Linked DNA regions of Oryctolagus cuniculus. The protein of the gene in region 2 interacts with the protein of the main gene of each other region in a pairwise test. Links are inferred from orthologs where the notes say so. Each region holds a gene or a part of one and is shown on either strand. Other genes may lie near its edges.

Evidence for each region.
Region 1: the proteins of ACY3 (region 2) and PLEKHF2 interact in binary tests that used the Homo sapiens proteins (3 or more experiments, as listed by UniProt). The two-hybrid records come from large-scale screens. The link is inferred for Oryctolagus cuniculus from reciprocal best matches to the Homo sapiens genes ACY3 and PLEKHF2.
Region 3: the proteins of ACY3 (region 2) and PMM2 interact in binary tests that used the Homo sapiens proteins (3 or more experiments, as listed by UniProt). The two-hybrid records come from large-scale screens. The link is inferred for Oryctolagus cuniculus from reciprocal best matches to the Homo sapiens genes ACY3 and PMM2.

The regions. Positions count from the first base shown.
Region 1 is NC_091437.1:120,536,822-120,544,225, forward strand, and holds the start of PLEKHF2 (pleckstrin homology domain-containing family F member 2), read left to right. Parts: upstream 1-3,443; 5' UTR 3,444-3,644; exon of another isoform or gene 3,645-3,723; intron 3,724-4,099; exon of another isoform or gene 4,100-4,239; intron 4,240-5,691; exon of another isoform or gene 5,692-5,743; intron 5,744-6,871; exon of another isoform or gene 6,872-6,993; intron 6,994-7,043; exon of another isoform or gene 7,044-7,404. UniProt on the Homo sapiens protein: May play a role in early endosome fusion upstream of RAB5, hence regulating receptor trafficking and fluid-phase transport. Enhances cellular sensitivity to TNF-induced apoptosis.
Region 2 is NC_091432.1:4,479,838-4,486,958, forward strand, and holds ACY3 (N-acyl-aromatic-L-amino acid amidohydrolase (carboxylate-forming)), read left to right. Parts: upstream 1-2,703; 5' UTR 2,704-3,147; coding exon 3,148-3,383; intron 3,384-4,038; coding exon 4,039-4,234; intron 4,235-4,433; coding exon 4,434-4,527; intron 4,528-4,692; coding exon 4,693-4,800; intron 4,801-4,874; coding exon 4,875-4,984; intron 4,985-5,736; coding exon 5,737-5,952; 3' UTR 5,953-6,402; downstream 6,403-7,121. UniProt on the Homo sapiens protein: Plays an important role in deacetylating mercapturic acids in kidney proximal tubules. Also acts on N-acetyl-aromatic amino acids.
Region 3 is NC_091450.1:27,393,001-27,400,163, reverse strand, and holds the start of PMM2 (phosphomannomutase 2), read left to right. Parts: upstream 1-2,847; 5' UTR 2,848-3,018; coding exon 3,019-3,084; intron 3,085-7,163. Other genes in the region: TMEM186 (transmembrane protein 186), read right to left, coding at 1,517-2,155, 2,765-2,767. UniProt on the Homo sapiens protein: Involved in the synthesis of the GDP-mannose and dolichol-phosphate-mannose required for a number of critical mannosyl transfer reactions.

The DNA.
Region 1 (7,404 bases), on a different chromosome or scaffold from region 2:
GGTGCCGGTTCAAGTCCCGGCTGCTCCTCTTCCAATCCAGCTCTCTGCTATGGCCTGGGAAAGCAGAAGATGGCCCAAATCTTTGGGCCCCTGTATACCTGTGGGAGACCTGGAAGAAGCTCCTGGCTCCTGGCTTCAGATCAGCACAGCTCTGGCCTTTGCGGACATTTGGAGAGTGAATCAGAGGATGGAAGACCTTTCTCTCTGTCTCTCCCTCTCTCTCTCTCTGTAACTATCAAAATCTTAAAAAATAAGATTTATTTATCTGAAAGGCAAAGTGACACTGAGAGGGAGGGGGAGAGAGGCAGACAAGACAGACAATAATCTTCCATCCACTGGTTCACTACCCAAAAGGCTGCGATGGTCAGGGCTGGTCCAGTCTGAAGCCAGCAGTGGCAGAGGCCCAAGTAACTGGGCCAGCTTCCCTATTTCCCAGGAGATTAGGTGGATTGGAAGCAGAGCACTGGGGACTAGCACTGGTGCTCCTATGTGGGATGTGGGTATCACAGTTGGCGGCTTAACCTGCTGCACCACAGTGCCAGCCCTGCTACTTTTTGTTAGAACAAAGCAGCTCTGGCCGGTGCCGCTGCTCACTAGGCTAATCCTCCGCCTTGTGGCGCCGGCACACTGGGTTCTAGTCCCGGTCGGGGCGCTGGATTCTGTCCCGGTTGCCCCTCTTCCAGGCCAGCCCTCTGCTGTGGCCAGGGAGTGCAGTGGAGGATGGCCCAAGTCCTTGGGCCCTGCACCCCATGGGAGACCAGGATAAGTACCTGGCTCCTGCCATCGGATCAGCGCGGTGCACCGGCAGCAGCATGCCGGCCGAGGCGGCCATTGGAGGGTGAACCAACGGCAAAGGAAGACCTTTCTCTCTGTCTCTCTCTCACTGTCCACTCTGCCTGTCATTGAAATCTGCCAGAAAAATATATGTAATAAATGTAAAATCTACAATGCCAACGAGAAAGGCACTTTCCCATAAGGATGTTCTCCTGCAACCTGTATAAGTATGCCTGACGACCCCATTGAGTAGTTGCTGAAGGTTTTCTGCAGGGAAATGACACAACCTTGGGAGGCTCCTGTGTGGAGGGGACTAGAGATCAGCAAAGTGTTTCAAAGGTAGATCCTGATATTTTGGAAGCAAAGAGATTGAATGGAGATGGGAAAGAGGATGAGAAAACCGTGACTCATCAGGTTTGTGTATGACAGTGCCATTTTACATGGATGGCCAAGACTGGCAGAAGACCAGGGCTGATGTGTGGAGAGGATAAGGAAATCAAGGCATAATCAAAACCCAGGTACTTGCTCCAGGTACTTGCCATCTCCCCTGACATGTCCTGACTTGAACTAAAAGTTAATCGAAGTCTTTTTTTTTTTTTTTTTCAAAATCCATATCCTCAGAAACCTTACTTATCAGCTTCAAGGACAATAACAAGAGCTTTTTTCCTTCAGGTTTATAAAGTTGGGCTAATTTAAATCCAAAGTTTACTAACACATTGAGGTTCCTCTCTGTTATCGGGACCCTGCCAGACACGAATCACTGTTATCGCACTTCCTCCACTCAGCAGTCTATGAGGTCGTGCCTATTTTTATCTTCACTTTACAAAGATGGGAGGCCCACAGAGAGATCTTATCACTGGATTTGATGGCAGCGCCACAGTTACAAGTCCAAGTCAGGAGTTGATCCTACTGCCTCCCAGTGCCTTGAAATCCCTTGTTTGTATCTGTGTGGCCAGTGTGCTCCAACATAACTTTCTGCAGTGATGGCAGTATTTCCCATCTGCACTGTCCAATAGTCATGCGGTTAGTGAGCACCTGAAATGTGATCCGTGTGACTGGGGAACCGACACTTTCACTGAATTAACCTAAATTTCATTAAGACATGTGGCTAGTGCCTATCGTATTTGTCAGCAGAGTTCCAAATCAGTGACCTGCACAGAGCCCAGGGAGAGCACACATTATGCTGAGTGCAGAAGAAAAGAAAACATATATACATATACACACATATAATATCATATGTAAATTGTCATATATACATACACACATACATAATAAACATAAATCATTGTTTTTCAGATTTTGTGTGTACTTTCTTGTTTATTTTTTGACAGGCAAAGTTAGTCAGTGAGAGAGACAGAGAGAGACAGAGAGAAAGGTCTTCCTTCCGTTGGTTCACCCCTCAAATAGCCTCTACTGCCAGCGCGCTGCACCTATCCGAAGCCAGGAGCCAGGTGCTTCTCCTGGTCTCCCATGCGGGTGCAGGGCCCAGGCACTTGGGCCATCCTCCACTGCATTCCCGGGGCCATGCCTTTTATAATGTACTAACAAATAAATTATAATGGATATGTGGGTGTTAAATACATATGATAATTTTTCACATTTTACTGCACTTACCATGTGCTAGGGACATGCTTTATGCATATTAATTCATTTAATTTTCAAAATGATTCTGTGAGGTAGATACTTCTATTGTCTTCATTTTACAAATGAGGAAACCAAGATAATATTTGGATGTAGCCAAGGACACAGGTAGTTGGGGTCAAAGCCAAGATTTGAGCATAGTCTGTCTGGTTTCTATCCACACACTTGATGGTAAGCTAAACAAGTACAGTGGAGGAGAGAGAGGCCAACATTTTGCTGCAGGGGGTGAGTAACCAAAGTTTTGGGGGCCTAATGTTTTAGACTAGACTTTACTGATCAAAGCATTCCCAATTTGAAAATTCAAAGGAACTTTGGAGTTTATTTAATCCAGCCTGTTTTCATGGGGACAGATACTGCTGCCTATGTAGAGGGAGACAAGGCCAAATTAAGTTGGAGTATAGTCATGGCTGAGACAGGAGTTCTGGGGCCATCTACACTTGTCTAGAGCTCACTATAGTTAACAAACTGAAACGAACGGGTGTTTGATCGTGATTCTGTAACTTTCCCTGGTTAAACAACCCAAAAAAAGGTGTTCACTTTTGGCCAGTTTTGTTTTGACTACCGATTAAAAAAAATTGTTTCGGAGCCACAGAACCAGGGAAAGCCGGGAGGGGACGGGACGCCCAGACGCCAAGAGCAGGTGTAAATAAAGCATGGTGGATCCCGAACTGCTCATTTCCCGTCAGTGATCCGCTACCTGCCGCGTGGCTGGTGGTGGTTCTAATTCAACAGCACTCAAAAGAAAAAAAAAATTGCTACAAAGACTAGGTCAATGGAAAATACAAAATTTACCAATACCTGACTCCCACCTACACACACTTTAAAAATGGACGCCGATCTCCCTCCTCCCTGCCTACCCCAGACAGCCCGCGCGCTTACAAACAGGTGCCGCCGGACAAACGAACGAGGGCACCTGTAACCTTGCGTACTGTCCTAGCGTCGCGGTCGCCAGGTGCGTGAAGTCAGTAGATGGGGTTCTGTGGCGTCAGATAAGTTTTGGAAACACTGAGTTCTACGGCTCGCACTGCAAAAGGCGGTGTGGGGAGCGTGCGCTTTCCCTCCGCTTCTAGAGGGAAGAATTTCAGAGAAAGGCACTGGAAGGCGGGATGGGCAGCAGCGCCTGGAGTAGCACACACAGGTGTGCTCGGACGCCTGGGAGCATCTAAATCCGAAGCCTTCCCTCTGCGTCCTTCAGTTTCCTGGGGAGGCCTGCTGTGGAGGTGGAGAAGGTAGTCTTCCATTCTTCTAGGCTCCCTAAGAACTTCGCACACACCTGAACAGTCCTCTCCCCGGGCTCGACCGAGCCAGGTAACTCGCAGCGCGCGGACCTTAACGACCACGAGGCGCGCGGCGCACGGTGCAGCGCAGGAGCAGGCACCCCACCCTCCCCGCGCTCGCCTGACGCCCGGGTGGGTGTGGCCTCCGCCGAAGGCCCCGCCTCTGGAGCGCGACGCGCGGGCAGGGCGGGGCGGGGCGGGGCGGGACCAGGGAACTGGCAAGAAAGGGCGGGGAGCGAGCGGTGTGGGTGTGCTCGTGCCCGCGCGCTCGCGCCCGGCGTGAGGACGGAGACGCGCCCTGCACGCGCAGGGGAGAGGCCAGCCCAGCAGCCGTTGTGGGGTTCGACTTGGAGGGGCGGGGGAGTCACCTGCGAGCGGCTGCGCCGGCCGCCCGCCCTCCTGCCGCGTCTGGATCGCGCCGGCTGAGCGGGACCGCCGGCGCACGGAGCCTGCGAGGTCAGAAAACAGCGGAACGGGCAGAGTCCGCGCTCGCCGTCAGCGACGAGCAAGAGTCGGTTCTTTGCCGCCGCTGGCTGCGCCCTGCCGGGTAGGTGAAGCCGGGCTTGGTGGCCCGCCGGCTGCGGGTGGGCTGAGAGGGGAGAAGCGAAACTTTCGGGCGCTTCCTCCCGCGGTCCCGGGGCCGTCCGCGGCGCGGGGAGGTGTCGCCGTCGCGGGCGGCGGCGGCGGCGGCGGCGGCGGCCGACGCCATGTTGGGGTCTGTGAGAAACGGGGCGCTCTCGGGCGGCTCCCCCAGCGCCCGGGGCCGGCCTGCGGGCGGGTCGCGGCCGCCGTCCCGCCGGGCCCGCCAGCGCCGGAGCGAGCCGCCTGCGCGTGCGGGACGCAGCCACTGCGAGGGGCCTCGGGGGCCGCCCGGGAGCGTCCGGCCCTCGTGGGTCCGCGGGGCGGGCGCGGGAAGGGGGCCCCCAGGTCCGGCGAGAAGTTGCGGGGCTTGAGGACCGGGGCCCAGGACGCGGGCAGTGCCGTCTCCAGACCCCAGCGCCTTTCTGTCCGGAAAGTTCGCAGGGTGTGGATCTCAGGGCGACCTTGTAACTTGAACATCATATTTCTGTGTGACTTGGGCGGGGAGGTGGGGAATGGCACTGTAGGGGGTTTGCTTTGATCGAAGGGATGACTTGGGCACTTTTTTATTTGGAGTCCTTTAAAGTTTTCTGGTCTTTCGCCGGTTTTTTTCTCTGAAGACTTGCTATCAGAGGCCGAGAGCTCGCTGGTGTAGCTCTCAGTACCTGATCGCAATAACTCGGAAGGGTGCGCCGTGGACAGGAGCAGAATGCAGGTTTCGGATACCTGAGCCCTTCGGAGTTAATTCGTAGACCGACGAAGTAAATGCCGTCTTTGTCGTGTTCTAGTACGGCCGAAGAGACTCTCTGTTAAAGTAGGATTTAGACACTACGTTGGCCGAGAGAGTCGAAGGCATGTGGTGTTCTGGTTAGAATATAGTGAAGTGACATTTCCAAGTAGTTTTCCTCTCCGTGGCTCCTTAAGGGTGCATGCCTTCCGTGTGTCGAGCGGTTGTTTTTTTTTTTTTTTTTTTTTTTTTCTGTACCCTTGGTAGCTCGCGGGGTCCTCAGGTTAATTCAGTATTAACAAAGGCTTCTATTTTTAATCTCCTGGGTCATGACAGCAGGGGAGGTGAATGGTATTAAGTTACTTATTTGGAAAGCACATGTAATCGCCTCAAAAAAAAAAAAAAAAAACAAAACTGGTGTACTAAGACCTCAGAAGAAAAGATTGAGTTTCAGTCGCCCCAGTAAATGAATAAAAACTATTTTTAATAAAACATCTTTGCTTTAAAATCCTGTTAAAAGACCGTTAACCACAAATGCAGTAAACTCCATGTTTTGGAGAGCTTCTCTTTTTACTCTTTCTGGGTGAAAATGTGATTTTTGCTCAGCTTCGCTTGCTGGTTACTTTAGTTCTTACAAATCCTTTTTGTGTTGCTTCATTGTCAAGTAAATGCCATCCATATTTATTTTTATAGCTGAAGAGTTAGTTGGACTTGAGATGACTTCACAAACCTAGCAGCCAGCCTGGTATGTTATTAACTGAGGTTTTATGGCCCTGAAGCCTTCTCATTTTTCTTACAGTGTAACTTTGTAGGGTACATAACCCATTCCTGTGGAGCAGTCCTTGTCCACCTTGTTTATTCTCATCACTGTTCTTTCTGATTTGATTTTAGCGCCTTAGTATAAATATTTCCTAGAAATCTGATTTACAAGGGTTGTTCTGCCAAAATTTTTCTTCCGAAAAATACTCGCTTAAGCCTCTGCTCTTGGAAGCCTTTTCTTCACTGTTCTTCCATTTGTCTCCTGAGAACTCAGTTCACTTCGCCCGTGGTATCCCGGTAAATACTGTGGCGCTTTGATAGCAGGCATCACATGGCTTCAGGTCTGATACTGCCCTTCCTCCCCAGCATGCTGAGAACATAGCAGATGCTCAGCAAAGGTTTGAATGGGTTACACATATGTTTGTTCCTTGTAAATATGCTTCATGAATTTCTTATTAAATTGTAATTTCCATGGGCACCGTGATTAAATCTCTGTGCAGTCTTTTCCAAAGTACATACCGTGAACTCCATTAAACCCACAGATTGGTTGATGGGGCTTTTTGTTTATTTGTTTATTTTGTTAGAATTTACCTAGTTAACTCAATGAATTTTGGCCTGGAGGTACAGAATTTGAATATTTATGAAATTTCCAAGTAGATAATAGGCTGAAGTATAATCACTGATGAATGGAAAGAAGCTGTGGGATCACCAAAAGGATTATAATAATTATCTTTAAATGAAATTGACTTTGCTTATGCTTGATGGAGATGTCTTTTACAAGATTTATTTATTTGAAATTCAGAGTGACAGAGAGAGGAGAGAAAGATATTACACTGGGGCCACCATTGGCATCCCATATGGGTCATGGTTCATGTTCCAGCTGCTCTGTTTCCAATCCAGCTCCCTGCTAATGTGCCTGGAAAAGCAGCGGCAGATGGCCCCTGTGCTTGGCTTCGGCCTGGCTCAGCTCCAGCCAGTGTGGCCTTAGGGGAGTGAACTTTTGAATGGAAGATCTCTGTCTCTATGTAACTCTACCTTTCAAATAAATAAACCTTTAAAAAAATACACATTAAAAAAAAAAAAAAAGATCTTCTCTCTGCTGATTACTTCTTAGATGGCTGCGGTGGCTGGTGCTGGGCCAGACTGAAGGCAGGAGCCTGGAACTCCATCTGGGTCTCCCACGTGGGTGGCAGGGGCCCAGGTTATTGGACCATTTTCTTTCTGCTGCTTTCACAGGTGTGTAAACAGGGAACTGGATTGGAAGCAGAGCAGCCGGGAGTCAATCAGTGCTCCAGTATGGGTTGCTGGTGTTGCAGGTGTCAGCTTAACTTGCTGTGCCACAGCGCTGGCTCTGGAAATACTATTAATACCTGAAAATTTTGAAGGTCATGTTTCTATATTTAAGCCCTTTGATAGAACAACTCATTGCTGTTCCACCAATCATTGTTTTGTCAGAATTTTCTTAGAATTTCATTTTAAAATGTCTTGCTTAGTGGAATTGCCTTTCTATTGATATGTTTATCTTTGAGAACGAACTTTTGAACATGAGCTGTCTAACGATGTGGGTGTTGGCTTAACTGAAACAGCCTTCCTAGGCATGCTTTTATGGTTACTAATTTAAATTGCAAAATCTCACCAGGTTAAAGT
Region 2 (7,121 bases):
CTGCCCCCTGGCCCGGGCTCCTCCGTGGGACCCGCACCCAGTCCCAGAGCGGCCTCTGCTGCGCCCTCCGCTCCCCCAGCTCGCCGTCGCTGAGGCCCGCGGCTCAGCCTCGGCGTCCTTGTCTGATAGAATGGGTTTCCACCTGCCCCTCGGAGCTGGTGTGCGGATTCCGTGGGGCCCCTCCCCAGGACGAGGCTGAGCCAGCCTTGGGCACAGCGGCCCTGGCTGCCGGTGGGACCCCGGCTGCACCCCTCCAAGAGCACCCCAGACCCCACCTCAGCCATGAGGTCTGCGACAGCAGCTTCTCCGGCTCAGCACCCACGGCACCTGCAGCCCCCGAGCTGGGGGAGCTCCCTGGGGCTGGGGTCCCCCTGGCTAGGAGAACGGCAGTGGGGTGAGTCCTGCCTCCGTCTCCGGCAGGGAGGGCTGGGCAGGGCGGTCCCGGAGCGAAGCGGGACGGGGAGACCTGGCCGAGGCCAGGGTGTGGGGAGGTAGGCGGATCCCAACCCGGGGTGAAGGGGCGGTGGCACCAGGCAGCGTCCCCACCGTCACGGCCACCACTGGGGAGCCGACAGCCTCGGTGACGACACCCGGGCCTGCACGCAGCCCCCCACCCCCACCCGGTTCCCCGACTCCAGGCACCACAGCAATGCCAGCCCGGATGTGGGGCTCGAACTGCCGCCCTGCCGTGCCCTCTGTCCCAGCGTTGGGCTGCAATGCTGCACCTACACCCAGGAAGGCCCTGCGCCCTCCACAGCCAGGTCCCCAGGCGGAGCCCGGCCTGTGCCCCCCCATCTCCACCGCAGTGCCTGGCATCAACTGGTGCCTGGCGTCGTGGGGGGCAGTGGAGTGGGAGGGAGAGAGGGGAGACGTCGCCGCTCCCCCCACCTCCCCAGCCCGATGGTGAGCAGGAGCCGCCCAGCCTGTCTGTGTGTCCGGCTGGCACCTGCTGCCCTGTAGCTTCCAGTCCGCCACATGTGGCCCCAGCCCGGCCTCTCCCGGTCTCTGCCTCGGTGCCGCCCCGCCCTGCGCCACGAGGCCCAGCCCCGTGGTCCCCACGACCCCTCCAGCCTCACCTCGGGCGGAGACTTGACTGAAGCGACAGGTGGACGTCAGGGCACACACCTGGCGTCCAGGGCGGGCGCTTGAGAGGGCGGCCAGGGCAGGGTGGGGTGGGGGAGGCCCGGGATGGAGTCAGGCCTCCTGCAGCCACAGTGAAGCGGGCAGCCCGTGCCGCTTCTCTGGAATGACGGGTGCCCGGGAGACCAGGCTGACGGCAGGGAGGGCACCGTCGGCGAGAGGCGGAAAAGACCCACAGAGGGGGCCACGGGGTGACAGGGCCCACTCGGGAGCGTGCACGGTCAGGCAGGGGCTCCAAGGCCACAGCAGAGACCAGCGGGCTCCAGGCGTGGCTCCCAGGCCACACGGCCCCGCCGGGACCAGCAAATCCATGCAGGGCTGCCTGGGGCTCTGAGCCCTCTCTGGTCTGTCTCCCTGTGAAAGCTGACGCTTTTATTGAGAGAGAGAGAGAGAGAGAGAGAGAGAGAGAGAGAGAGAGAGAGGTATTTAGTTATATGAGAGAGAAAGGCTTCTATCTGCTGATGCACACATGGTCCCGACAGCCAGGGCTGGGCCAGGCAAAGCCGGGAGTCGAACTCCATCCACGACTCCCACGTGGACGCAGGGGCCGGGCGCTCGGGCCATCACCCGTTGCTTTCCCGGGCGCGTTAGCAGGGAGGTGGATTGGAAGCAGAGCAGCCGGCACTCGAACCCGGCACTCTGATACGGGATGCGGCTCTCCCACGCGTGGCTTAGCCCGCCGTGCCACGACGCCCACCCCACTCTCTCGCCCAGGGGCTGCCCGCACATGCGCTGTTTCCAGCGGCCCGCGGCCCTTGCTCCCCTCTGCTCACAGCTGTCCTGGGCTCCCAGGCAGGAGCGGAGACTCAGAGAGGGTGTGACGTCTCTTGGGGTCACACAGCCTGCCAGGGAGCACAGGTCCCAGCCTGGGGAGGCCCCCTGGGACCAGGGGTGTCCCCAGGCCCCACGACCCCCAGTGTAGGGGTGCGGGCCAGCAGCAGCTTCAAGGAGGGTTAGCCCAGAGGGGCCTGGCTGCCCTGTGGGGCCTTGGGGTCCCAGGACCTGGCCTCCGGGGGCACTAGGTGGCCAGGCTGACCGCCACGCCTCTGCCTGCCTCCCTGTCAGTGACCTCTGGACCGTGCTCCCCCCAGCAGAGAGCTGAGCCCATGCCAAGTGCAGGGGACTTTGCCTTGCCCCCCCACTGCGCGCAGAGGGGCACAGCGGGGGCAGGGCGGGTTGGAGGGGTTGCCGCCCGCCCCTCGTGCTCTGAGTGCCATTGACCACTCTGTTTCGGCCTCAGTTTCCACATCTGTACAATGGGTCCTGAGAGTCGTTTCTGGAAGTCATGCCAGCGCCTAGAACAAGGAGAACACAGCTGTGGCGGGACTCGTGGCCGTTTCATGGAGCCTCGCGAGCCGCAGAACCGGGGCCCTGGGACAGGCAGGGCCGGGAGGGGCCGGGGTGAGGCTCCTCACCTGGCCTGCCCCGACCGTGACTTCCAGGGCTTGGTCCCTCTGCCCGCAGGGAGCCTCCCCTGGGCCTGGGAGGCAGGGCAGCTGCCTGGACTCAGTGGGCCGTGCAGGACGGGGCGGAGCCGGGGTGCGACCTTTGGCTGTGGACCTCAGCCCCTGGCCTCTGCTGGCTTAGCACAAACACTTCCCGTCCCCAGAGCTCCGGGCCCACACACAGCGCTGACCTGGGTGGCCAGGCCCCGGGGAGCCCAGGCTCTCAGGCAGGGCAGGCAGGGGTGGCCTGGGCCCGGCTCCGGACAGCCACCTCCCGCTCTGATGCTGTCCGGTCCCCGGCTCCGAGACGGAGGCCTAGGGCTCTCCCTGTGAGCCCCTCCCTGGGGTCTCCCTCCCCACCGCGCCCCCACCCCGCTCTTCTCACCCCAGAGGGAGCAGGAAGCCCCCAGAGAAGGGAGAGGTCCCAGGCAGGGGCGCCAGTGACGACCTCCGCGGGGGCCGGGGGCTCTCACGGCTGACGGCCCCTCCAGCTGCACCACCCGGGGAGCTCACCGCCGGGCCCTGCGTGCGCCCACCCGCCAGGCAGCCACCCACGCACAGCATGTGCGCGCTGCCAGTGCCCCGGGAGCCCCTGCGCCGCGTGGCCGTGACCGGGGGCACCCACGGCAACGAGCTGTCCGGCGTCCACCTGGTGCGGCACTGGCTGCGGGCGCCGGGGGAGCTGCGGAGACCCAGCTTCGCCGCCACGCCCGTGCTGGCCAACCCGGCCGCCGCGGCCGCCTGCCGCCGCTACGTCGGCTGTGACCTCAACCGGGCTTTCACCAGCGGCTTCCTCAGGTGCGCGCCCTTGCCCCTGCCTTCGCTCTGGCTCTCCCACTTCCTGGGCCGCTGTTCCTCCCTCCTCCATTCCAGGCAGAAATCCAGACAGAGGCCACCTCCTCCAGGAAGCCCTCCAGACTGCAGGCTGGGCCGGGCTCCCCAGCCCCGGGGGTCCTCTCAGAGCAGGCCCACAGGCTGTGTTTACCTGTCTTGCACCCCCGTCTCCCCTTCCTGCCTTTCTTCAGTGGGCATCCACTGAGGCCAGGCTCCGGCCGGCTCAGGATGGGAATGGGCCTAGGACCGAGGGGTAAGCCTCAGTGTGCTAGGAACACAGAGGCCGATACGGCAGCCACAACCCCGGAGGCTGCATGCAGGGGCGTGGGCCACGGGCAGTCAGGGAAGGCTTCCTGGGGGAGGCAGTGTCTCAGCCAAGCCCCCAAAAGTGAGAAGTTAGCCAGGTGAGGAGAGGAGTGACCAGCGAGGGCCCAGCGGGTGACAAGGCCCTGCAGGTGGATAGGGCGGTGGACAGGACAGGTGGACAGGGCGGTGGACAGGGCCGGGACAAGGGCTGGGGCTTCGTGGGGAAACGCAGGAGGGCGGACCACCGTCGTGAGTGCCCCTGCGGACGGACTGAAGCTCTGGGGGCTGGCGTCCCCCGTCTCTATCCCCGTAGCGCGAAGGCCAGTCCAGACGACCCGTATGAGGTGACAAGGGCCCGGGAGCTGGACCAGCTCCTGGGGCCCAAAGCCTCGGGCGCGGCCTTCGACCTGGTCCTGGACCTGCACAACACCACAGCCAACGTGGGCACCTGCCTCATCGCCGAGACGGCCCACCAAGTCTTCGTCATGCACCTGTGCCGCCACCTGCAGGTGGCCCCGCCCCCGGTGGGGGAGGGGTGGGGGCAGTGGGGACAGAGTGGGGGGCTCTCTCGGGCTTCCTTCCCTGGGGTTAGCTCCAGTCCTGCACCCCAGGACCGAGGGAGACCGGGTGTTGGTGTAGGGTGTCCCGTGCTCCCCCCACCCCCACTGCCTCAGTTTCCCCTCCCTGACCCGCCTCTCCCGGCCGCAGCTGCAGACCCCAGAGCTGCCCTGCCGGGTCCTCCTGTACAAGCAGCCGGGGGAGGAGAGCTACCACGTGGGCTCTGTGGCCAAGAACTCGCTGGGTAGGCCACGCCCCTGGGAGAAGTGGGCGGGGCCTGACCGATTGGATGTGGCCACAAGGGCTGGGCTTCTTTGATAAGTGGGCGGGGCCACGAGGGCAGGGCGGGGCCTGGTCTTGGGGCCGCCCCCCTTGCTGCTCCTACCTCTCTCTGCCCCCGGCCCCCCAGGCCTGGAGCTGGGCCCGCAGCCTCAGGGCGTGCTGCGGGCCGACGTCTTCTCCCGCATGAGGGCCCTGGTGGCCTCCACTCTGGACTTCGTGGAGCTCTTCAACCAGGGTGAGGCCCCTGGGGGGCGTGCGGGAGCCGAGGCCCGCGAGCGCGCGTATCTCACCTCGCCCCACCCCACACAGGGGCCGCCTTCCCAGCCTTCGAGATGGAAGCGTACAGAAACCTGGGCGGCGTGGACTTCCCTCGCACGGCCGACGGGGACCTTGCGGGCACCGTGCACCCCCAGCTGCAGGTGTGTGGGCGGGCCTCTGGGGGGATCCAGGCGCCCACGCCCCGGCCCTGGCGCCCCGTGGTCCTCTCGACTCCAGGGCAGGCGCAGCAGCCTGGACAGCGAGCCCCGGGAGGGCGCCAACGCGGAACCCGCGAGCGCCCCCAACCCCGCGCCCCGGGCCTGCCCTTCCCGGGGTTCCGGGACTCGCCCTGCTGCTCCGGCCGGTGCCGCGCGGGGGCGCTGTGGAACAGGGCTCGGTGCGGTCCTGAGCCCGGCTCTCGGGTTGGGGTGCAGGGAGGGAGCCCCAGCAGTCGGGGCCAGCTGGCCTGGCCCCCTTGCAAGCGGTGAGCATAAGAGTCACTTTGGGTGCCCTACCCTACAACTGAGCGTTCACACAGTCTCCAGCGCTGTTGACCCCCTGACCTTGAGACTCAGAAACGGGGCGGGGGTGAGACGTGGGGACCCCGGTTTTGCAGACCAGGAGGTTGGGGAACAGAGGGGTTAACGTGACTTCCTGAGCGTCACACCCCCACCAAGGATTCGAACCCGTTTCTGAGTCCATAACCTTTAGGCTAGGTTTCCATAGCAACAGGTGTGTTTCCAGGGCGACTGGCAGCAGGGTGGGTCCTCACCAGGTACCCGGTCACAGGGGCGGGAGGGCCAGCCGGAGTGAGGGGTGCCTCTGGGCTGCCGCCAGCTGGGGCCGCTGTCCATTGGGGCGGGGCGGGGGCAGAGGTCAGCCCCCCAACCTTGGCCTCCGGCTCCCCCTCCAGGACCGAGACTTCGAGCCCCTGCAGCCCGGCGCCCCCATCTTCCAGCTGTTCAGCGGCGAGGACGTGTGCTATGAGGGGGAGTCCACTGTGTACCCCATATTCATTAACGAGGCCGCCTACTACGAGAAGGGCGTGGCCTTCATCCGGACGGAGAAGTTCACCTTCTCCGTGCCCGCCCTGCCCGCGCTGGCCCCCACCCCCACCCTGGTGCCCTAACCCATGCTGCTGACCAGGCTCTGCCCCCGGGGCCCCCCTACTCCCCCACCCAGGCCTCAATTTCCCATTCTGTAAAATGGAAGACGGGCCGGCGCCGCGGCTCACTAGGCTAATCCTCCGCCTAGCAGCGCCGGCACACCGGGTTCGAGTCCCAGTCGGGGCGCCGGATTCTTTCCCGGTTGCCCCTCTTCCAGGCCAGCTCTCTGCTGTGGCCTGGGAGTGCAGTGGAGGATGGCCCAGGTGCTTGGGTCCTGCACCCCATGGGAGACCAGGAAAAGCACCTGGCTCCTGGCTCCTGCCATCGGATCAGCGCAGTGCGCCGGCCGCAGCGCGCCGGCCGCGGCGGCCATTGGAGGGTGAACCAACGGCAAAGGAAGACCTTTCTCTCTGTCTCTCTCTCTCACTGTCCACTCTGCCTGTCCAAAAAAAAAAAAAAAAAAAAAAAAAAAAGGAAGACGCCCGGGGGACCCATGGTCTGTGTCTTTGGTCTGTTGTGCAGGGGAAGTGGGTGGAGGCGGGGAGGCTTGCCCACGGCATCTGGGGTGGGTCTGGTCAGCGCTGCCCTGGGCACACCCATCTGTGGGGGGGTGGGGGGGCACCCAGAGCTGGGAGAAGCAGCCAGAGAGGGAGAAGACAGAGAGGTCCCAGCCCAGAGGGGAGGTCCAGCCAGCTGCTGGACACAGCATGGCCCGAGGCTTGGTCTGGGGCCAGCAGAGCCCTGGCCACGTACTGGGACGCTTGGCCCTGCACGCACCTGCCCCCTGTGCCCCTCAGAGGGTGGGCGTTCTTCCATGCACACAGTGTCTGAAGCTTAGTTCCCGAGTGTCCTGTGGGCATCTGTATGTGGGTGCAGACACAGCGGGCTGTGGAGTTCTGGGTGTGGAATGAGCCTATGCCCGTGATGGCCCTGGGTGACAGGGCTGCGGGGAGGGATGCCAGCACGGCCTTCCACCTGCCGTGACACAGGGAGGAGGTGCCTCAGGCTGCGGCACAGGGACGCCCTGCCCCCTCCACCGCGTCCACCATCCCCAGAACCCCCGCTGTGGTGCCAGAGGGGGCAGGCAGGGTGCCCTGGATGGGGTCCCCCCACCCCGTCCTGGTGCAGGCACCCTCCAGGGCGGGCCGGCTGCGGCTCACTGCCCGCATCTGCCCGAGCCCGAGGAAGTGGT
Region 3 (7,163 bases), on a different chromosome or scaffold from region 2:
AGCTCCTGACAGAGCTGGTCATTGTGGCCATTTGGAGTGTGAACCAGTGAGTGGGAGATCTTGTCTCTCCTTCTCTCTGTAACTCTGCCTCTCAAATAAATAATAAATCTTTAAAAAAGGGAAGGGGAGGGGGGAGGCAGGGAGGGGAGAGAACCTCTGGACATTGCAATGGGAATGTAACCCGGCATAGCCACTGTAAAAAGTCTGGCAGGTCCTCCAATGGTTAAACACAGAATTACCAGAGGACCTAGGAGTCCCACATCTTGGGATGCACCCAAAGGTGAAAATAATCCCAACGTCCCCCAGCACATGAACAGAGACAAACGTGGCAGTACACGGAACAATACCGTCCAGCTATAAGGAAGAATTACATGCCACTACACGCTACCCACACGTTGAAAACATCACACCAAGCCAACGAAGCCAGTCACGAAAGGGCACATACTGTGTGATTCCAGGCCATGCCATGTCCAGACAGGCAGATTCTAAGGCAGAAGGGGATTAGTGGCTGCCAACGGGAGAGCGAGTGCTGCTCTGTGGGTACAGAGGCCCTGGGATGGTGAAAAACTTCTGGGGGTGAACTGTGGGGGTGGTTACACCACACTGCAAATGTACTTACTGTCCCTGAACTGTACACTTAACATGGTTACAACGATACATTTGTGATGAGTACATGACAATGAAAACAGAGGTGATACGAAATTTATTGACTTATGCGTGGCAAAATCACGAAGACCTTTACCCTGCTACAAGCTACGTGGCCGACACACACACCGATCACGGGAGGCAACACGCAGAGGTAGAGCACTACACACACCCATCTGGCTCCATGACGCAGCGGGACGGCCTCGGCCTGTGGGTGCGGAACATCTCAGCTGGGGCGTCGCGCCTCACTCGGGGTGCAGTTACCATCCTGGGAGGGTGCAATGCCCCCGCCACGCTTCGTCCCACTCTTCTGCTAAGGGGTGCATGGAGAGGCAGAACACAGGGCTCCCGCGCGCTGCCTGAAAGCCCCGACCACCACCTCTGAGCAGACGCTTCCCAGTCGCCCAGGGCTACGGCCTTGCATGTTTACTGTGTGTTCTGACATCCAGCCCACGAGACAGAAAGAACTTTCCGTTTGACAGACGTGAGAAACCAAGGCTCACACAGACTCCGTCAGCTGCCCAGAACAGCGAGCTGACAGCACCCCAAACCCTGTGCTCCTCCCACATCTGTCTTCCAAATACCCGTGAACTGTCCGGGTGACCGTGGCATAGCTTCCTCCAAGAACTGGATCCGAACAGAACCTCCTGGCCATTATCTGCAAGAACAGCACGCGCAAGTGCAGGAAGAATCCGCACTCGGGCGCCTTCCCGTAAACCTGGGTCCGAATTTCTGTGTTCTTCCGAAAAGACAAACTCCCAGGGTTCTGACAGTCTCTAGGGGCCCGATTCCCTCCTTCGGCCTCGTCTACACCCTCAGCCTTCTTGGTTAGTGACCCAAGGGGCCCAGGGCTTCCCAGAGGCCCAGCTGATCACTTGAGCGAGTCCAGTCTCCCAAACACCTGTGTGAAGCGCTCTCTGTCCAGGACGCGCCCGTAGCGCAGAGGTAGGTAGAAGGTCTGCTTCCCGCTGTACTGCTGGATGCGCACAAACACCTCGTGGGGCCGGTCCCTCGTCTCCGTCAGGGGGACCACGTCCGCCACGGGGCAGTACGTGTCCTGTCGCCAGCCCCAGAAGGTGAGGTGAGCCACCCGCAGCACGGTGCCCGACTCGTTCACATACAGGATGCCTACGAGCCTGCGGAAGAAATGGCTCATCCAGCACAGCATGGCCAGGGCGAAGCCAGCTATGCCACCCACCAGGCACAGCGAGTCGAGCGGCATGAGGCCCTGGGAGTACCAGTAGAAGCCGGGCGGCAGAGCCACCAGCGTCAGGGCCGTCTGCGCCACCTTCAGCCGAGATATGTACCCAAACGCTCTGATGGCATCGAAACGGTAGACCATCTGGAACTTCTCGGTCTCTGTGCCCGGGGCTTTCTCCTCGGAACCGGGAGACCTGCTCCGCACCCACCTCTTGGGATCCTCTCGCCCACCGCAGGACCACAGCCCGCAGAGGGGCTTTCCCCAGGCGGCCGGCCCCCGCCACCTGGGCACAGCTCGGAGGAGGGCAGCCTGGAAGGGAGACAAGAGACCGTTTCCTCTCAGAACTCGGCTTCCACCTGCGTGAGTTCGTTAGGCTTTACCAACGGGCACTCAGAACACACTGAACGAGACAACGGTTTTTACGCCGTAAACGCAGCACCACTGTGCATCAGCACCGGCAGGGGCTTGGTTCCGGGATGCACGACAAGACACCCAAACCAGAGGGCTCACGTCTCTTATGCAAAATGGCACAGTGTTTGTGTGATACCTTATACCACTACTACGATGGAAACGCGGCGTAAAGAGTGGTTATGGGGGATTCCTTTGGGAGTAGCAAGAGCCCGTAGGCGTTCCGCACAGACGCAGCTGTCTCGGCAGCTGAGTGAATCCATGGATGGGGAGCGCACGGATAAGCAGCGCCGACTGCTCGGGGCCCACCCTGAGCACCCCCGCGAGGCTCGCTAGCACCGCTGCTGGCCCACGTGACCCCGCAAGACCACAGCAAGCCGTGGAGGAGCACATCGTAACCCACATCGGGGCAATCGCCCCAGGACCCAACAAACCAGAAGCTCAGGATTCCTGCCTGTTTGCCCCAACACTGGCTCCGACCCCGACGCAGCCCATCACCCTCCTCCTTACCATGGCCCTGCTCCCTGGCGCCGGATACAACCTCACCGCCGCCGGAAACTCTAAGGGCGCATGCTCGGACTACGCGCGTTGCATGCTGGGAGTTGTGGTGTAGCGTCCGTGGCCGACGCTAGCCCCGGGCATTGTGGGAGGCTGTGGGAGTCTCTTCCCGACGTGCTCTGCGGCGAAGAGGGCCGAACCCGGAAGTTCCGGGTCGAGGTCCGGGTGCCAACGAGTCGTCTCAGGTGTGGACGGAAACGGGGGCCATGGCAGCTCCGGGACCAGCGCTTTGCCTCTTCGACGTGGACGGGACCCTGACCGCCCCGCGGCAGGTAGGCGGCGCGCAGAGGGCTGGCGGCAGCCGGCACGGAGCACTTTCTGCTCCTAGACGGGACGAACGACCGTCCAGCTTGGGTGCCTGGGTGCAACTGAGGACCGCCTCCCGCCTCCAGGGGCTGCCCTTGGTCTGGGTGCCCCAGCGGCGGGAGACGGGCCTGAAGCAGCTCGTCAAGATCCCGGGGTGCTCGGAGAGGGAGGGCGGGGTCGGGAAACTTGGGTTAGAACAAGCAGCCCGTTCTCTGGCCGCGAGCCCTGAACCCCAGCCGAGGCCCCCTCAGCAGCTGTGTGACCTTCCCCGTCCCGTCGCGCGTGGCTGGACCTTGGAGCGAGATGCTGAAAGCGCAGGGTTCGGGCCGGCGCTGCGGCTGTTACTAGTTAAACATCCGTGTGCCTGCGGCGCCGGCATCCCATATGGGCGCCGGGTTGAGTCCCACCTGCTCCACTTCGGATCCGGCTCCCTGCTGATGGCCTGGGAAAGCTGCAGTGGACGGGCCCGGTCCTTGGGCCCCTGCACCCATGTGGGAGACCCGGAAGAAGCTCCTGGCTTCGGATCAGCGCAGCCGCGGCCCTTGCGGCCATTTAGGGAGTGAGCCCTTGGGTGGAAGACCCCCTCTCTCTATCTCGACCTCTCTCTGTCTGCAACTCTGCCCTCAAATAGATAAATCTTAAAGAAAGAAAGTGTAGATTTCCTAGTCCAGAGGACCTAGCGGAGCCTCAGCTTGGGCCAGTTAGCCCCAGCCGGAAGCGGGGACAGTGCTTGTTACGTGTCATCCGAATAGGACCAAATGCAAGGTGTCTGCTCGCAGTAGGCCTCCGTAAGCACGGGCCGTCTCCACCCGCCCTGTGCAGCCCCTGCCGGGGTCGGGGTCGGGGTCGGGGGGACGTCCTAGGTCGTCACAGGCAGCCTGGTGAGTCTCTGCACCCTTGGAAGCGTGCCCCCCGCGCTCAGATCTGCCTGCTGCGGGCGCGCGTACGTTTCAGCTACGATCAGCTTCGTGGCGAGGCTCTCCCTTGTACAGACTGGTCGCAGGAACACCAGCCATGGGAGGCAGCAGTCAGCACACACCTGTGGGTTGTTAAAAGCCCTTACTGGCGGCCGGCGCCGCGGCTCACTAGGCTAATCCTCCGCCTGGCGGCGCCGGCACACCAGGTTCTAGTCCCGGTCGGGGCGCCGCATTCTGTCCCGGTTGCCCCTCTTCCAGGCCAGCTCTCTGCTGTGGCCAGGGAGTGCAGTGGAGGATGGCCCAAGTGCTTGGGCCCTGCACCCCATGGGAGACCAGGAGAAGCACCTGGCTCCTGCCTTCGGATCAGCGCAGCACCGTAGCGGCCATTTTGGGGGTTGAACCAAGAGAAGGAAAACCTTTCTGTGTCTCTCACTGCCTAACTCTGCCTGTCAAAAAAAAAAAAAAAAAAAAAAAAAAAACCATGCTGGCCTAGAACTGCAGCCAGCAATTCATTTTTTAAGAAAAGCCGTATAGTAAATGTTGTAGTCTTTGCAGACCATATGGTCTGCAATAACTACTCAGCTTATTGCAAAAGCAGCTGTAGACCGTGCAAAAACATGGGGTGGCTGTGTTCCAGTACAGGCCTGCTTTATTAGAAAAGCCAACATCTGGGGCAGGTACGTAGCATATGGTTAAAGCAGCACTTGGAACTCCAGCCTCCCACCGTGGAGTGCCTGGGTTTGAGTCCTGGCCCCACTCCTGATTGCACCTCGGGTCCCTGCCACCCACATGGGAGATACAGGTTGAGTTCCCAGCTCCTAACTTCAGCCTGGCCCAGCCCTGGCTGTGCAGACCTTTGAAGTTCACTCTCTCTGTGTCTACTTCTTCTTCTCCCTCTCCCTCTCCCTGTATCTCTCAAATAAACAATTTTTTTTTTTTTTTTTTTTTTAAGAAAACAACTGCTCGGTTTGTCCCATGGACCATAGTGGCCTGGGGTTTACATTTCCATGTCTTTTTACGTGATATTAGGCCCTCTTCACTTTCTTCCCTTTTTCATCTTAAGTAAAACAATTATTACTACCATTTTAAACAAAGAAACAGAGACCCCATAAAGGTCTGACTGCCTCAGCTTCACGCAGTACTGGGGTCTCAGGGCATTGTCGTTTGTCAGTTCTCGCGAGGTCTTGCAGTGGAAGGTGTCCAGTTGTCCTGTGCCATTCAGGAAGGTGTTTCTCAATCTCAGAAACAATGGGGCTGTGCGCACACAAAGTATAAAATAGCAAAGAAACCTGGCAACTGAGAATGTATTCCTTTGAAATACATATTCTTTGCAACGAATGTAAATTTTTTTTTTTTTTTTTGACAGGCAGAGTGGACAGTGAGAGAGAGAGAGACAGAGAGAAAGGTCTTCCTTTACCATTGGTTCACCCTCCAATGGCCGCTGCGGCCGGCGCACCGCGCTGATCGGAAGGCAGGAGCCAGGTGCTTCTCCTGGTCTCCCATGGGGTGCAGGGCCCAAGCACTTGGGCCATCCTCCACTGCACTCCTGGGCCACAGCAGAGAGCTGGCCTGGAAGAGGGGCCACCGGGACAGAATCCGGTGCCTGACCGGGACTAGAACCCGGTGTGCCAGGGCCGCAGGTGGAGGATTAGCCTAGTGAGCCGCGGCACCGGCGTAAATAATTTTAACAATCAAAAAATAGAATCCATAATTTAAAAGAAAATTGTTTCTTAAGTAAAAAATAAATAAAAATGCTAGCAACAGATTTATTGATTATCCAGCCTTTCACTTCCTGATACATGTGCATTCTCATACCTTGAAGAGCACGTTGCTTTTTAGATTTACCTAGTTGAAAGGCAGTAGGGAGACAGGAGGTTATTGATAGATCTTCCATCTGCTGGTTCACTCTTCAAATGACTGCACTGGCTGGGCCTGGGGCAGACTGAAGCTGGGAGCCTGGAACTCCAAGCTGGGCTCCCATTGGACCACAGGGGACCAAGCGCCTGAGACATCTTGTGCCTTCCCAGACACATGGCCGCGTGCTGGATCGGCAGAGAGCAGCTGGGGGCTGAATGGTGCTCTGATGTGGGACGCCGCCATAGAGGTGGTGGCTTAACCTCCTGTGCCACAACGCTGGGCCCACACATTGCAATCCTGAGGCAAAAGAACGGGCTCTGTCTTCCTGCAGCTGCTGGCACAGGACATGACCTAAACAGTAGACTGATTAGCACGCACTCCAGAGATTCGCACGTGTCAGTGTTGTAGAAGCTTGTTGGTGCTCAGTCCTTTCCTTAACACGCTGTTTCATCTAAAGCTACTTGGAACTTCGAACCAAAGCCCGTAAGAAGAAAGGTGGCGCAAACCTAGGAGAATCGTTTTCCAACTTCCTATCATCAAAACTTTTTTTTTTTTTTTTTTTTTTTTTTGACAGGCAGAGTGGACAGTGAGAGAGACAGAGAGAAAGGTCTTCCTTTGCCGTTGGTTCACCCTCCAATGGCCGCCACGGCCGGCGTGCTGTGGCCGGCGCACCGCGCTGATCCGATGGCAGGAGCCAGGTGCTTCTCCTGGTCTCCCATGGGGTGCAGGGCCCAAGCACTTGGGCCATCCTCCACTGCACTCCCGGGCCACAGCAGAGAGCTGGCCTGGAAGAGGAGCAACCGGGACTAGAACCCGATGTGCCAGGGCCGCAGGTGGAGAATTAGCCTAGTGAGCTGCGGTGCCGGCCATTAAAAACTTTCAAAAGTGTCGCTGAAACAGCCTAGAAGAGCTGCCTTAGACATAGACGCCATCTCTCACTGCTCCTGTGTCTCTCCGCCTCGAGGGGAATTGCTCTTTAGAAAAGGGACAGTCCTGCGCAGCAGTCGCAGTACACGACTCCTGTGACAGCATATGAGAGTGCCAGTTCAGATTCCGCCTGCTCCCGTTTCAGGCCAGCTTCCTGCTAACACATCCCGCAAGGCAGCAGAAGATGGTTCAGGTACTTGGGCCCCTGCCACCCACATGGGAGTCCTGGATAGAGTCTGGACTCCTGGTGTCACCTGGACCAGACCTGAGTGTTGCAAGCATTTGGGGAGTGAATCCGATGAGGAACCAAGAGATGGACGATCTCTCCTGCAGGACAGCTTCCT